Linked DNA regions of Lonchura striata. Each later gene encodes a partner of the first gene's protein in a complex. Links are inferred from orthologs where the notes say so. Each region holds a gene or a part of one and is shown on either strand. Other genes may lie near its edges. The genes, in order: FLT3 and FLT3LG.

What was found.
Region 2: the proteins of FLT3 (region 1) and FLT3LG are in contact, whole or in part, in a crystal structure (PDB 7QDP), measured with the Homo sapiens proteins. The link is inferred for Lonchura striata from reciprocal best matches to the Homo sapiens genes FLT3 and FLT3LG. Residues at the interface, in NP_004110.2 of Homo sapiens: Asp180, His279, Gly280, Phe281, Gly282, Met300, Ser301, Thr302, Tyr303, Asn306, Arg307, Met309, Arg311, Ser333; in NP_001191431.1 of Homo sapiens: His34, Ser35, Pro36, Ile37, Ser38, Ser39, Asp40, Lys44, Lys87, Glu99, Asn102, Thr103, Glu104, His106, Phe107.

Annotation. Positions count from the first base shown.
Region 1 is NC_134604.1:69,000,078-69,007,807, reverse strand, and holds the start of FLT3 (receptor-type tyrosine-protein kinase FLT3), read right to left. Parts: upstream 3,243-7,730; 5' UTR 3,168-3,242; coding exon 3,113-3,167; intron 1-3,112. UniProt on the Homo sapiens protein: Tyrosine-protein kinase that acts as a cell-surface receptor for the cytokine FLT3LG and regulates differentiation, proliferation and survival of hematopoietic progenitor cells and of dendritic cells.
Region 2 is NC_134640.1:2,936,442-2,943,721, forward strand, and holds FLT3LG (fms-related tyrosine kinase 3 ligand), read left to right. Parts: upstream 1-4,338; 5' UTR 4,339-4,482; coding exon 4,483-4,512; intron 4,513-4,617; coding exon 4,618-4,719; intron 4,720-5,005; coding exon 5,006-5,059; intron 5,060-5,183; coding exon 5,184-5,327; intron 5,328-5,607; coding exon 5,608-5,740; intron 5,741-5,812; coding exon 5,813-6,264; 3' UTR 6,265-6,295; intron 6,296-6,397; 3' UTR 6,398-6,549; downstream 6,550-7,280. Other genes in the region: ALDH16A1 (aldehyde dehydrogenase family 16 member A1), read left to right, coding at 151-338, 436-591, 1,088-1,279, 1,576-1,680, 1,763-1,899, 1,970-2,063, 2,269-2,330, 2,614-2,691 and 4 more. UniProt on the Homo sapiens protein: Stimulates the proliferation of early hematopoietic cells by activating FLT3. Synergizes well with a number of other colony stimulating factors and interleukins. Required for the development of B cells, and dendritic cells (DCs).

The DNA.
Region 1 (7,730 bases):
CCAAAATCAACCCAGTGATCTAAAGCAGTTTCTCAGCTGAAATAAGAATTAAATGATGTTTCAGGTATTTTGAGAGACACATTTTCAGAAGCCTGTGACCAGGAGGTGCTCCATGCTATATTATTTTGGGGGTCATTATAGGAGGGGCTCCTGCAGCAGGACAGGATGCCCACAGCTCTGCTTTGCTGACAAACCTTCCTCTGCTGAGCAGCCACAACAGCAGCATCCACCCAACACTGGGCAGAGATGTGGGGCAGCCCTGGAAGTTGGGCTGCACTCTGGGCATCTTCCAGCTTCTCAGTACATTGAAATATGGATAACCAGAGGAATTTTCTGAAGAAAGGGAAAAGCAAATGGCCCCAAACCTCAAAAGACACAAAACACCCAGAGTTTTAAGTTGCATTTACTTCATCGGAAAACAACTATTTTCCTGCACAGTCCTTTCACCTTCGGGAATCTTCAGAAGTGATACCTTATCTTCTGATCCATGAAATATATGGTGATGGATGACCATGAATATGTGGTCTGCTGGGCACAACAGTTTCCCTGAGTGAACAGACAATGTACTGGCCTTATCCAATACTCAAAACCAGCTTGCACCCAAGTTTTTGCATGTTTTGGGAAAGAGACAAGATCAAACTTGGTTCCCCCTGGGGTGCTCATTGATTTCACCTTCCTGCCAGTGGCAGGGCTCAGTGCCTTAACTTGCTCTGGAATGTTTGTCAGCTGTTTTGTTGGAGAGAAATCCAATTTTCTGTGAGTTTAACAGATCCTGCAGGTGGCTGGGTCCCACACATTTCTGGGTTCTCCTCTAAAAGAAACATGCTGGCCCACCTCATATTTTCCACGATCTCTGTCATAGGAATTTAATGGACACTTATATGTTCTGTGAGGGAATTTTCAACAGTACTACTCTATAATTTTTGTGCAGTCAGACACACCATAATCTAATCTGGACCTTGTTGGAATCTGAGTTTGCAGTCCTTGCTCATATATGTTTCCTCTCATTTGCCAGCCACAGGGAGATCTTAGGCAGCTTCTCATATCTTCATTTCTCTCAGGTGCCCTGAAACTGGGTTTTATGAACATCTCTCAGTAAGAAAGGGGTGCAACTAAAAAAAAGGATGCAGGAGTGGTTGTCAGTGGAAAACTTTCTCTGATGAGAAAGGTCACTGAATGTTTCTTTTTACAAAATTCTTCAATTTGTAAAACACGAAACTACTACTGCATCTGTTCCCAGGCCCCATCCCTGCCCCATCCACTAATGCAAGGCTAATTGTATGCTAGATAACATTCCCTTTAGCCACAAACTCTTGTTTGGGATGACCAGAAGAATGTAAGATGAGAAACTGGAATAGTGTTTTTAATGTATATAGGTGTATTTACATATATAGTATTGTGTATATTGTTTTCTGAAGTTCTTGGGATTAAATTTCTTGCTGCTGGGGAGCATTTATTCACAAATAACACAGGCAAGATGCTTGTTCTTTCTTGAAACTTTTGCAGTTCTGAGCCTGTAATTTTAAGACTGACCTGCTGCCTTAAGTCTAAAGATACTGTGGAGATTTTCCTCCAGGTGTTATTATTCTTTAGCTTTCCTTTGCTGGTTAAGTGCTGCCATTTCTGATGACACTGGTTCATCATATGGATACCATCTGTTGTCTGCACAATTTATTACTCAATATTATCTCAATCAGAAAACAGATTCTCAAAGGGGACACGGGTATTTTTAAGAGATTGTATATAATTTATTGAATGCTTCACATTATTTACATCAAAATTGTTTTTAAGAGTGATCTGTTAGAGACATATATGGAACTAGCAGTTCTCAGGATTTTTGCTGTTAAGTCTGTCTCTGATGCTTCAGATCCTAACTGCTTTGTATGTCCAAAAGCACTTTTTCTCCTATAATAGCCAGCCTTATGAGAAGAAACACTGCCTCCCTGTGCACCTTGCCTTGACTAAATAATATCTCAGCAGAAAGAACAGCAGTCCTCCTAGAGAATAATCATATCTTGGGGCTCTCACACCTTTTTGCCTCTCTGCACAAATGTCTCTTACCCACACTGACAGGTCTTTGGGCACCATTACATTTCAGATGCTAGTAATTTTTATTTGTTTTGTTAGGCAGCCTGCAAAATAGCAAAACTCAGTCAAAGAAGAAAACACAGAAATCCCTCCTTGACAGGGTTTGCTTAGTAGTATCAGCAATCATGCAAAGCACAAGATCATAAAGTATTAATTTTCATTTTTACTCCACCTTCTCTTCAAATAGCTCATGTAGACTTTCAACCATAACTGAATAATATCTAACAATTTCTCTTTGAAGTAAGTATTATTATCTCTGTATATGGAGCTGAAAATGGACCACAGGTTGTTAAAAAACTTTCTCAGGTATGTACTAGAACTATATCAGGAGAAAAACATGCACCCAGTCCTGGATTTTGAATCAGCAAGATCATTTTAGATAGGAACAAGCCATTAATTTTAGAGAAAAACAGTTTCAGGCATTTGAGATGGAAGCAAATGCTATTTCCTTTTTTCTTAACAGCTAATTGCTGGGCTGATTTTCAGTAGAGGATATCAAGCTTTAAATTCCAAAACACTTCACTCTAACAGTAAGCAAAGAGTACTTTCTATATATTAATATCATGTTTTCTTCAATTTAGATCATTAAACAAAAACAACAAAACCTGAAAAGATAATGATACATCATTATATTTCACTCTACTAAGGTATCTGATTCATAGATTATTTATGTGGGAAATTGCAGGTATATTATTTAAAGTGCTCAGGTCAAGCTAGCACTAACAGCAGGAAATACATTTACATCAGAAGAAAGAGAACAAAAAAAAAATCAGTAATTTAAATACTTTTTGCCTTGAGAATAAAATGTGTCAGATGCAGTAAGAGAAAAAGCTGGGCTGGGCTGGGAGAGATTAGGGTGATGGGAGAAAGAAGAGCATCTCCAGAAGAGAGAAGAAAGGTGAGACAGAAAATAAAAGATTCAAGAGAAGAAGAAATCAAAGGAGAAAGGAAAGATGTGAAGGGGTGCAGTGAGAGTGGGGAATGGAGATGAAAGGGCCTGAGGAGTGTGATGAGAAGACCTCACCTGCGAGATGAAATGGAGCTCTAGTGGAGCAGCTGTGGGGCCAACTCGCTGTCATTGCTGGTGGCGCCCTGCAGTGCCCTGGCCCCACAAGTGAAACTGAGCCTGCAGGTGGTTGCCTTAAGGGTGCATGTCACTGCCCAGAGTGAAACCACTTCTTCAAATGAGAGGGCTCGAGACCTGAGCCACAAGGAAACGGCTGTGGGACGTGGAGAAGAGGGGCCTCTCTGGGGGTCGGGGAGCATCTTCCTTCTGTCACAGGATGCCTCCACCAAGCTGAGCAGCTGCCTCCACTTCAGCTGCTCAGTCTCAAGTCCTTTGCTCATGCTTACTAAGACATATTTTCTCCTGTAAATTTGTGCTGTCTCACTTCAACTCTTATTTTTGAAGCAGTTACAATTTCTGCTTTCACACACTGGCAGTTAGCATAATTTCTACAAGTCCTGATGAGGGGAAGAGCAAGTGTTTTGCCAAGCTGAAGAGCTCAAAAAAAAAAATCCAAATTAAGTTCGTGCAACACCATGGGAATACCCCACCACATCTGTCGTGGTGGGCCGACGGAGGTTTCCCATGCTTGGTGAGCCTCTGCTCTGCTGGTGAGAGAGGACCTGCTGCGGTCACCTCCAAGATCCTGGGGGCTGCCACCAAGGCAGGGAGTGGGCCTGTGGCATGGGGCTGTGCTTATACCAGGGGGAACAGGGAACTAGCACTGTTTGCAGGAAGGTTCAAAGCAAGCCACAGCTGTTCTGAAGCTGTTACACAGATTACTTGTCTAGGGGATGAAAACAAAGGCCTCCAGGCTGAAATGCAAACCTGTAGAGGCAGCATCCCTCTGCCCTTAGCCTGTCCCTGCTTGCCACCTTCCTTGGAGCATAGTGCTTCAGGAGCTGCCTCCTCATCGGCTCCAGGTTGTTGGTGTGTAAGAGGTGGAACTGCTCCAGGTGTAGGAGAACTTGCTGGGGCCAGCAAGCCCCACTGATTTGTACCAGAACAGGACATTGCAGAGGGGCAGACAGATCTCCCTGCCTTGCACAGCTGTGCATCACAGTCACCAAGCACAAATCAGTCCCAGTTCTAAGGATTAAGCTTGAGCTTCCCCTCTATGATTCCCCAGGACAGACTGGGGGATTTTTATTATTTGCTTGGCTGTTGTATTTTATATATAAAATGGTATTTTTTATTCATTCAGTTGTTATTTTTACTTGCCAAGGGCTGAGCAATGATTCTGCAATTGTTCAGAACCTGGATAAAAAGAATCCCTAAACAAATAAACTCAGTATTGGTAAAGTGTTCTCAGAAACATCTCAGAGACTATATTTAGATTTTTTTATTGATATCTGCCTTCTGCATTAGGGAAATAAAAAAAAAAAAAGTAGATTAATCAGAACTAGACAGACATACCATAGCTAAAAGAAGACACATAAAACATCCTGAAGGCAACTGCAGAGGCAATGGGGCACAGAGGCCAGCATTGTTCATGATATGACTGTATGATCTCTCACAAGACTGCCTTAGACACACTGAATGAGTCAGTACCATTGTACTGTGGTGCTCAACACAAGTTTGTGTGTTTTGCAGTGCAGAGGAAGGAGCTGAAATTATATGAAAATTAGGGAGGTACATATTTGCAAGGATGCAAAAATGAGAAAAAGAAGCATAGGATTCCATAGGCTTTAAAGAAATTGATGCAAACAGGAAAATACCATGCTGACAACAAGCTTTCTTGGCTGGTAGGTTGCCCCTTTTTTTTCCACTGCCCACACTGGTACACAGACCCTAAGCATGAATGAGGTATCAAGGCACCTCTGAAGATTGCCTAGTCCAGTGCTATACTCAAAACATGATCAGCTAGCACAGGCTGCCCCGGGGCACATCCAGTACAGTTTTAAATACCAACAGAGATGGAGAGTCCACAACTTTTCCTGGCAATCTATTCAGCACTTAAACAACCTCACAGTATAAAAATGTTTCTTGATATTCAGAGTGAACTTCCTCTTTTACAGTTTGTGCACATTGCAGGTGGTTCTGTCACTGAAATGAGTTGGGCTCCCCCATCAGATATTTATACACATTGATAAGGCTCCCCCCAAGCCTTCTCTTCTACAGGCTAAACAGCCCCAGCCATTTCACTCCCTTACCAGATACCCCAATCCTTTACCATCTTTAGGGAAAAAAAAAAAAACCTAAGGAACTACAGAGCAGTGTAGTCAGTTTTGCTGTCTGTCAAGATCTTGGAGCAAATTCCCCTAGAAACTATAAGAAGGCACATAGAAAATAAGGTGGTGACTGGTGACAGTCAGCATGACTTCACTAAGGGCAAATGGCACCTGGCAAATCTGGTGGCTTTCTATGATGGGGTTACAGCTTTGGTGAGAGGGAAGAATGCCTGACATAATTTACCTGGACTTACGCAAAGAATTGTCCACTGTCCTTCATGAAACTTTGTGTCTAAACTGGACAGATACGAATTTGACAGAGGCGCCAATTGGTGGACAAGGAATTGGATGGATGGTTAATTCAAGGAATTGTGGTCAATGGCTTCATGTCCAAGTGGAGAGCAGTGACAAGTGGTGTTCCTTAGGGATTGGTTTGGGAGACCAAATCAGTTCAACATCTTTACAAATTATGCGTTTTGTACTTTCCTGTACCCCTTTCAACCCTACACATATATAGAGGTTTTGCCCTCAGAAAACAGGGGTAGACAGTTTGTACTTCTGTTCTGAAAATAACAGACATCTATCCCAGCCACTGAGCGCTCACTGTTGGTAGGGTAGCCTGACAAAGACCTGTCTAAACACTTACATATGTACTAGGCAAGTGGATTCTTGTCCTCTGATTTAAAATTGGCAAGTGCTTTGTTTTTTCTTCCATCTGATGCACTCAGCACTGGTAGCTGCTAGGATTCCATTGAAGATATTTTGCTTTTTTGTGATTCTGACAAGGAGAAACTACTGTTTAATAATGAAAATCGGTTGCTGGTGATTCAGCTGATCTGGTATCAGAAGCCTTAACATATATGTCAGGTTTTCAGTGTAAAAGCTTCTGTGAAAGATCCAGCTAGGAGAGTTCACATCTACTGGACTAAGCCAAAGTATATTTATAAGTTCTGCCATATTAACTTATTCCTAAAGATGCTGGACTGGGGTCCAAAAGGGTTCAATTAATGTATCATACACATGTATACAATAGCAAAGCATTCTATGAGTAAGCAGGGCTTTTTTCCACCATGAGAAAATGGTTTCTGTTATCAAGTGTTTTATCCAGCTTATCCATCCTGGTTGGCCTTCACTGCAACAAGCAGATAAAGCCTAAGCCAGTGGGAGCAGCACCATGGTAAGAAATTCTCTAGCTGAACCATACGATTGGATTACCAGCACAGTGAAACTAGACTTGTATTTTAGTGCTCGTACTAATTTTAATTCTAGCTTAGGGCTAAGACCTCCCCCCATACATTATTAATATAAGGTTTAGCATACATTATTAATGTAGGTGTTAGGAAGAGCACTTCAGGGTCAACTCCTGATTTGTGACTTGATTTGAATTCAAAACTTCACTGAGTTGAAATGAATTTCTTTTTGCACATGAACAGGAGTCTGGTTAGGAGCAACACCTGGTTTCTTCGATACTCTTAGTAAAGACAACTGCCCAGTTAGGGACCCATGGGTATTGCCACAGCAGGTCACTGCATGCAGTCCAATATCCTGACTGCCATGTTAGTAATCCTCAAATATTTCAAAGGCAGATAATTTTGTGGAATAACCTCCTCAAGAGTGGCAATCTCCCTCTGACTTCAGACAGTAGCTGGTATATAGCCTGAAGTATTAGGCTTTATTTGAAAAAAAAAAAAAATAATTATTAGCAATTATGAAAAATTCATAAATGCTAAATTCTTTCTAATATTACTGTAGACCCTGATCACATCCGTTTTTTTCCTTAATTATATACTATAATGATAGACTTTAAAAGGTAAATTTGGATTATGTGCAAACTTTGTTTAGAAGTATTTCCTTTGATCTGTTTCAGCAATACTAAGGCCAGTTTTGTAAGTAGAGATAGTATCTTCTAATAGACCCAGCTGGTACTGTTGGAAAAAACCCAGCGTTCACACATTACCTTTTCCAACTATTTGGTTAAACAAGATTCCTACCTACAAAACTTGTCTCACCTAGACCTTAAAAAAAAAGTCAGCTACAGTAACTCTTTCCCTTAAAAAGTATTGCTATTCATTTGCATTATCTGATGCCAGCCTGCACTTAAGGATCTGTTTCCACATGATTTAATAAATAAGTTAATTCTGGGTTGATACAAAGAGACGGTGTCACACTCAATAGCAAACATGGCTTTCTCAAGAATGGTTCAAATGTTAGGGGGGAGTTGCTTGGCACTTGCAAGCTGATTTGGCTGGAAAAAAAGAGCTCTTGGCAGATGTTTCCTTCCCAAGGTTTCCCTCCCCCACCTCGATTTTTCATCTCATAATGTTTGGTTCTGCCTTTCTGGCACAGCTCATAAGAGTGACACTCTGTCACTTGGCCATGGCTGCAGGCATGCATACAAGTGGTATTTCCTCCTTTCTGGGTCAAAAAGCACACCACAGTTATCACTTAACTACAAAGTGGGACAA
Region 2 (7,280 bases), on another chromosome or scaffold:
AGTTTTGGGATTCCCTATGGGGGTCCCAGCAGTTTTGGGGGGTCCCAGCAGTTTTGAGGTGTCCCTGTGGGGGGTCCCAGCAGTTTTGGGGGGTCCCAGCAGGTTTGAGGTGTCCCTGTGGAGGTCCCAGCAGTTTTGGGGTGCCTCCAGGGAACACGGCTCTGGTGCTGTGCCCAGCGGCCGCAGCGCCGCCGCTGCTGCTGCTGGGGGAGCTGAGCAGGGAGGGGGCAGCGCTGCCCCCCGGGGTCCTCAACGTCCTGGCGGGACCCCTGGAGCTGTGCCAGGCCCTGCGCGCCCACCCCGAAATCGCCTCCGTCACCTTCCTCGGGGTGCCCCAGGTACGGCCACGTCCCAGCCCCACGGCTGGGGGGAGCTGGGGCTCCTCTCACCCCCCTCCCCAATTTGGGGGTCCCCACGCACTGTCTGTGCCCCCAGGAGGAGCTGCCGGCCCTGGTTTGGGGGTCCCCGTGCCGGGGGCCGCGCCTGGGGGGTCCCCGAGGGGGCCGTGTCGTCGTCGTCGTCCTGGACTCGGCCGACCTGGACAGCGCTGCTGCCGCCGTCGTCGCCAGTGCCGCCGCGCCCCCGGCGCTGGTGGGGTCCCAGGGGGCTCGGGGAGTTCTGGGGGGTTTTTAGGTCTTTCTGGGAGAGGTTCAGGGGTTTTTGTGGAGGTTTGGTGGTTTCTAAGGAGTTTTCTTGGGGGGGCTTTTTGGGAAGGTTTCAGGGTTTTTTGTGGAGGTTTCTCAGGGGTTTTTTTGGGGGGGCCTTTTGGGGAAGTTTCAGGGGTTTTTGTGGAGATTTGGCAGTTTCTAAGGAGTTTTTTTGGGGAGGTTTCAGGGGTTTTTGTGGATGTTCGGCAGTTTCTTAGGAGTTTTCTTGGGGGGGTCTTTTGGGGAGGTTTCAGAGGTTTTTATGGAGGTTTGGTAGTTTCTTGAGGGTTTTTTTGGGGGGGCCTTTTGGGGAGGTTTCAGGGGGGTTTTTTTGGCATGTTTGGTGGGGCTTTTTAGGAGGTTTCTGGGTTTCCCATGGGGGAGGTGTGTCAGTTTTTCAGGGGGTCCCTGATCCCCCGGTGCCTCCTGCGTGTCCCCAGTTCCCGGCTGGGGGGTGCGTGGTGCTGGCACAGGACGCGGTGGCGGCAGCGCTGGAGCAGCGGCTCCGGGCCCGCCTCGGGGGGCTGCAGCTCGGGGACCCCACAGACCCCAAAACGGAGGTGGGGCCGCTGCCCCCTGGGACCTGCCCGCCGGAGGGGGTGGTGCAGGAGGCGCTGCAGGAGGGGGCTCAGGTGAGGGGGTGCGCAAAGGGGGCCGGGTGGGGTGGCTGTGGGGACATCGGGGCAGCACAAAAGGGTTGGGAGGGTGGGGAGGGGCACGTGGTGTTTGGGGGTCAAGGTTGAGACTTCCTGGACATTGCTGTCTCCTGGGGTGAAATCCGGAGGTTCCCAGGGGTGGGTTTGGGTGCTCCTGGATGTTGGGACTGGCTGTGGGGCCATTTGGGGTCCCCCGGGGTCAGAGTGGGGGTACCCTGGGTGGCACTCTGAGGGTCCCCACCTTGTTGGGACCCCTGTTGTTTTCTGCCTAGGTTTTCCAGGTGCCGCTGCCACCGTTGCCGGAGCAGGAGCATCGCTTCTACCCCCTGACGCTTATCTCGGGGGTGGCCCCGACCTCACGCTGTCTGCGGGAGCCGGTGGGTGCCCCGGGGCGCCCTGGGGTGGGGGGCGTCCAGGGGCGCCTTTTGGGGCTGCCCTGAGCGTGCCCTGCCCCGCCAGGCCCCCGGGCCGCTGCTGGTGCTGCTGCCCGTGCGCAGCCCCACGGAGGCCGTGGCCTTGGCTTCGGCGCTACCCCAGACCGCGGCGGCTGCCGTCTGGGCCCAGGACATCACCATGGCCTTGGACACAGCGGACAGGTGACCAGCAGCCCCCTGAGCCCTGGGCCCAGGAGCGAGCGCTGGGCGCTGAGCACTGACCCCTCTCCAGGCTGCCCCAGGGGCTGGTGTGGCTCAACGCCCTGGACCTGCTGGACCCCAACGGGGGCTGCGCCGGGGGGGCTGCGGACACTGACCCGGATGAGGTGGGGGCTGCCAAGGGGGGGCTCTTCTGGGAGTCCTGGGTGGTTTGGGAGGGGTCCAGGGGGGTCGGGGGTGTCCTGGAGAAGCTGGAGGGATGTGGAGGTCTCCTGGGGTGGGTTCTGAGTTTTTCAGGGGGGAGTGGGGTGGGTTTTGGGGTTCCTGTGCAACTGTTGCAGATGGGCTCTGCCCCCCCCGGACTCCCTCCAGGCGCTGCGAGAATTTGGGTGCCCCCCCTGGGAACAGGCCCCCAAGGTGGATGAGCTGCTCAGGTACCCCCTGATGGGACAGGGACCCCTCTCCAGGATGGAGACTCCAAATTAGGGGGTCCTAGGACAAGAACTCCAAGACCGAGTTCCATTGGGACCCCAGTCAAACACCCTCAGCACCCCCTTCTTCCCTCCCGGGGTGGTCCCAGCCCCATCCTGTCCCCCCCGGAGGGTCCTGTGCACCTCTCAGGACCCCGATTGTCTCTCTCAAAGGGGTCCCGGTGACCCCCCGGTGCCCCTCCCACAGCGATGCCCTTTGATTCCCTGTCTCCCGTCCCTGTCGCAGCCCACTGGTGGCCGTGGATGACCCCGGCGATCCCGAGCTGGCTCATGCCGTGGCCGCCGCCCGTGGGGCCGCCCCGGGGTGAGTGCGAGGGTGGGTGGGCGGCTCCTCCAGGGGTGTCCCCCGACCCCCTTGGGAGGAGGCGTCGGTCCCCAATGCCCTCGGCTCCCGCAGGTGGGGGCGGCTGCCGGGAGCGTCGCGGGCCCGGGTGCTGCGGGGCGCGGCGGCGGCGCTGGCGGCGGCACCCGGGACCCCCGCGGACGGCGGCGGCGCGGACGGGAGCCTGCAGGGGGCGCTGCTGCGCTGGGCGGCGCGCCTGGAGCGCGGGGGCGGGGCCGTGCAGGTGGGCGTGGTCAAGGGGCGGGAGGAGAGTGGGTGATGCAAGAGGGGGCGTGGCCTATGACTGGGCGTGGCCAATCCCGCTGCAGGACGTGCCCGGGGGGCGGGCGCTGCTGGCGAGGCGGCCGCTCGGAGTGCTGGGCGTGGCCTGGGGCTGGCCACGCCCACTGGCGCTGCAGCTCCTCCTCCCGGCGCTCGCGCTCGGCAACGCCCTGGTGGTCGTGGCGCCCCCTGGCGGCGCCGGTTCCGCAGAGCGGCTTCGGAAGGTGCGGAACCGCGGGACCCCCCGCTGCCCCCCCGGTGACACCTGTGATGCCCCAGGAACCCCCCCGGGTGACCCCCATGCCCCCCGTTCCTCCCCCGCGACCCCCGGGAGCCCGCATATGTTCCCCCCAGGACCTCCCATGTGCCTCCTGTGTCCCTTCATGTGCCCCCCTGAAACCCTCCAGGACACCCCACGTCCCCTTCCTTCGCTGCAGGAAGCCGCCCCGCTCGGTGACACTCCCCTCTTCCTCTGTGTCCCCAGGCTCTGGTGGCCGCCGGGCTTCCCGGGGGTGTCCTGACGGTGCTTCCCGGGAATTCCCGGGGCTCCGGATCTGGCCTGGCGCGACATCACCCGGACGGGCTGTGGCTGTGCGGGGGGGACGCGGTGAGTGGAGGGGCAGTGGGGGGCAGAGTGTGGGGACACGGGGAAAGGGGACAGTGGAGGGCACGCCGGGGAAGGAGGGTTGACACTGGTGACGTTCTGGGGGTCTCAAGCCGTGGGACGGCTGCTGTGGTGGGGATTTGGGGTGCGGGGGACATCACCCCAGCTCTCCCCATCTGTCCCCTCTTATGTCCGCCCACCCAGGACTGCGACTGGGCCTCTGCCGTGAGCGTCCCCCGCGTTTGGGGGGTCCCGGCGGGACTCGTGGGGGCTCCGAGGCAGGACCCTCCCCCCGGCGCCGAACGGGAGCTGGAGCTGCGCTGCACCCGCCCCCACTGCCTTTGGCTTCCGGGGGGCGCTCCCTGAGATGCCCTCCAGAGCCTCCCAAATCTGCGGGGATTTCAGATCTCACACTGTGCCCCCAGCCCCGCGACCCCCACCCCAATAAACCGCTCCGAGTCGCAGCCGCTGTCACGTTTCTGTTTAGGGGGGGGACCGGGTTGGTCTCGCGCTGGAGGGGGGGGGGATGTTTTGGGGTGCCCCGCCCCGCACGTGCCCGGACGCCCCGGCCCCCCTCCCACGCTCGGGGCAGCCGCACCCAAAGCTCTGCGGGGCAGGGCGGGGGGTCCCGAGCGCCGGAGCTCCCGTGGGAATAGAGGGGGAGTCCCCGGGGTGAGGAAGGGGCGGCCCGGGGTCCGCGGCGTGGGAGGGGGAGGCTCGGGACGTCCCGCTGCCCTCTCGGGTTTCCTGGGCCCCCTCCCGGCTCGGTCCCACTTTCGGTTTCGGCGGCGGCTCCGCCGCGGCCCGAGGGGTCCCGGCGGGGGTCCCGGGGGTGGCTCCGGGAGCGCTCGGGGGTTCCGGTGCGCCGTCCCCGGCTCCATACCGCGATGGACTTGCCCCCCCTCCGCTCTGCTCTGGTAAGTGGGGACCCCCTCCCTCCGCCCCGCAATGTGACCTGCGCCCCTCTGGGACCCCCGCGAGAGCCCCTTGGGACGTCCAGAGCCCCCCCCGGTGACTCCCAGGTGCCGCTCCTGCTCCTCCTGGCCGTGCCCACCCCCAGCAGCTGCTGCTCCTTCGGCTTTAACCCGATCAGCAGCACCTTCAGCACCCACCTGAACAACCTGGTGAGACAGACCCCCACCCCCAGGACATCCTCCCGCGCACCCTAGTACGCCCCCTGACCTCCGGGATCCTCACGGGACCTCCCAGATCCCCCTGAGACCCAAAAGATTCCCCTGCGCCTCCCTCCCCCTTCCCCCGAACTCCCTCATTCCCCAGGGAAGGCCCCACCCTGGGTCCCGAAAACCCCCTGACTGCACCCCTTCACCCCCAAAGGGTCGTTGGGGACGCCCTGAGCGCCCCCCTCAGCCCTCTGGGCTGCTTTTGGGGACCCCCTGACCCCTCCCACAGACCCCCTGGCTGCTCCTCGACTACCCTGTGGCGATGCCCAGCAACCTGGAGCCGGTGAGCGAGAATCCCCCAAATCCCACGTGTCCTCCCCCAAATCCCTCCCTGTTCCTGCACCCCCGGACACCTCTGACCCCTGACCCCTGTCCCTCCAAACCCTGAACTGCCCTGGCCTCCCCAGGACGGCGCCTGCTCTGATCTCTGGGGGCTTCACTTTGGGGCACTGGCTCTGCAGCGAATGTTGGGGGTGGCGGGGAAGGATTTGGCCCCCCTGCTCAGGACCCTCCTTGCCCAGCTCCACTTCGTGGCCGAGTGTCACATCCAGGTGGGTGGGGGTCCCCGGGGGGCTCCGGGGGTCCTGGAAGGAGGGGGAGTTGGGAGGCTCGGTGTGCACCGTTACGGGGTGGTCCTGGGGCAGCCAAGATGAGTCTGGGGGCCTGAGGGGCTCTGGGGACCCCACAGGGCTCAGGGGGTTCCCTGAGGTGTCTAGGGTAACTCTGGGAGCCTTGTGGGGGTGCAGGAGCTCTGGGGCATTCCTGGGATTTCCCAGGGTGGTTCAGAAGGGGTCTGGGTCCCCCGGGGGGGCTCCTACAACATCTCCCCAGGACCCCCAGCGCTGTGTCCAGCTGGAGATGGTGAATGTGTCGCAGCTACTGGAGACGCTCATGCAGCACCTGGGGGGGCTGCAAGGGAGACCCCCCCACTTCCCCGGCTGTGCCCGCTTGCGCTGCCACCCAGGTACCCCTCAGGACCCCTGAGAGACCCCCGTAACCCCCCCTGGGGCAGCTGCTGACCCCTGTCTTCCCCCAGGCCCGGCGCTGACCAGCCCAGCAGTGCGGCACGAGGGGACCTTGGGGGCCAGGCAGGGAGCCGCCAGCCCTGCTGGACATGGACTGGTGCTGCTGGGGGGAGTTGGGGGTGTCCTGGTCTTGGTGGCGGTGGTCTGGGTACTGTGGAGGAGACCCTGTGCCCAGGTGGGGACACTGGGGGCACTGACGGGCACTGGGGACACCCGGGAGGATGGCGTTCCTGGGGACACAGCGGGTGGTGAGGGCATGAGGGGCACTGGGGATGGTGTGTGCACTGGGGACACTGTGGATGCTGGCTGTCATGGGGACATTGGGAGCATTGGGGGCTGTCTTGGGGTCACTGGGAGGAGGACTGACAACATTGGAAGCACTGGGGAGCGCTGGGAGGTCATTCCCCTCAGCCCCCTCCAGCCCTCACAGAGACCCCCGACATGGGAGCAGGATGCAACCTGAGTGGCCGAGTGGTAATTGGGGACAGACACAGGTACTGGGAGAGCTCCTGGATACTGTTATCACTGGGAATATCCTGAGGGGGGCCAGGAGAGGCCCCTGGATCATCAGGTCCTCACCCTCTGCCCCTGCCCAGGCTGGCCTGAGCCACTGGTGAGAGACGGGGACCCCCCAGTTCCCTGCTGGAAGCCCTCGGGAGCTACACCGGGATCTCCCAGAGCGACGGAGAGATGAGGGGGCCCAGCCTGGCCCCGTGCAGTGCCCATAAAGCTGATGTTGACACCCTGACTCTGACCCTGCTCTGGGAGGACTGGGTGGACTGGATGAGTGTTTGGGGGAACTGGTCGAGAGTGGGGTGGACACAGAATTGCGCAACTGGCCTTTACTGGGGGTCTCACAGGGGCGGGGGGTTCCGGTAGTGCAGCTGGAGCTGGGGCCACTGGCAGGGCAAGAAGTAGAGCAGGGCCAGCAGTGCCAGCAGCGCCAGAGCCCATGGTGACAGTGGTGTCCACGGTGACAGTGGTGCCTGTGGGGTCACTGCCTTGGCCACCTCCTCACTGCTCCACAGCAGGCCTCCTCCTCCTGACAGTGCCATCCCTCTGTCCTCCTCCTCCTCCTTGTCTGCTGTCTCCTGGGCAGAGCCTCTGGGTCAGTGGCTGAGGGGACCCTGCAGGGTCCCCCCTGACCCCATTCTTACCTGGCTCACCGCTGCCATGGCCTGGATGTCTGGCTGGCTGCTCGGGCACCACGGGCGCCTATGGAAGGCAGAGGAGGGTGAGGATGCTGAGGTGAGGGCTCCGGGGCATCCTGAGGATGTCCCCTGCCCATGTGTCCCCCACATACATGGCCCAGGCGTCCCGCATCTGGCCCAGCTGCTGCCGCAGCCGCGTCGTCTCCAGACGCAATTCCTGGGGGGGAGAAGGGATTGTCACCCTCGGCCCTTGACCCCCACATAGGGAGTGGCCACCGTGGGGCTTTGCTGTGGCCACTGCCTGGGCTCACACCGAGGCCAGATGTGC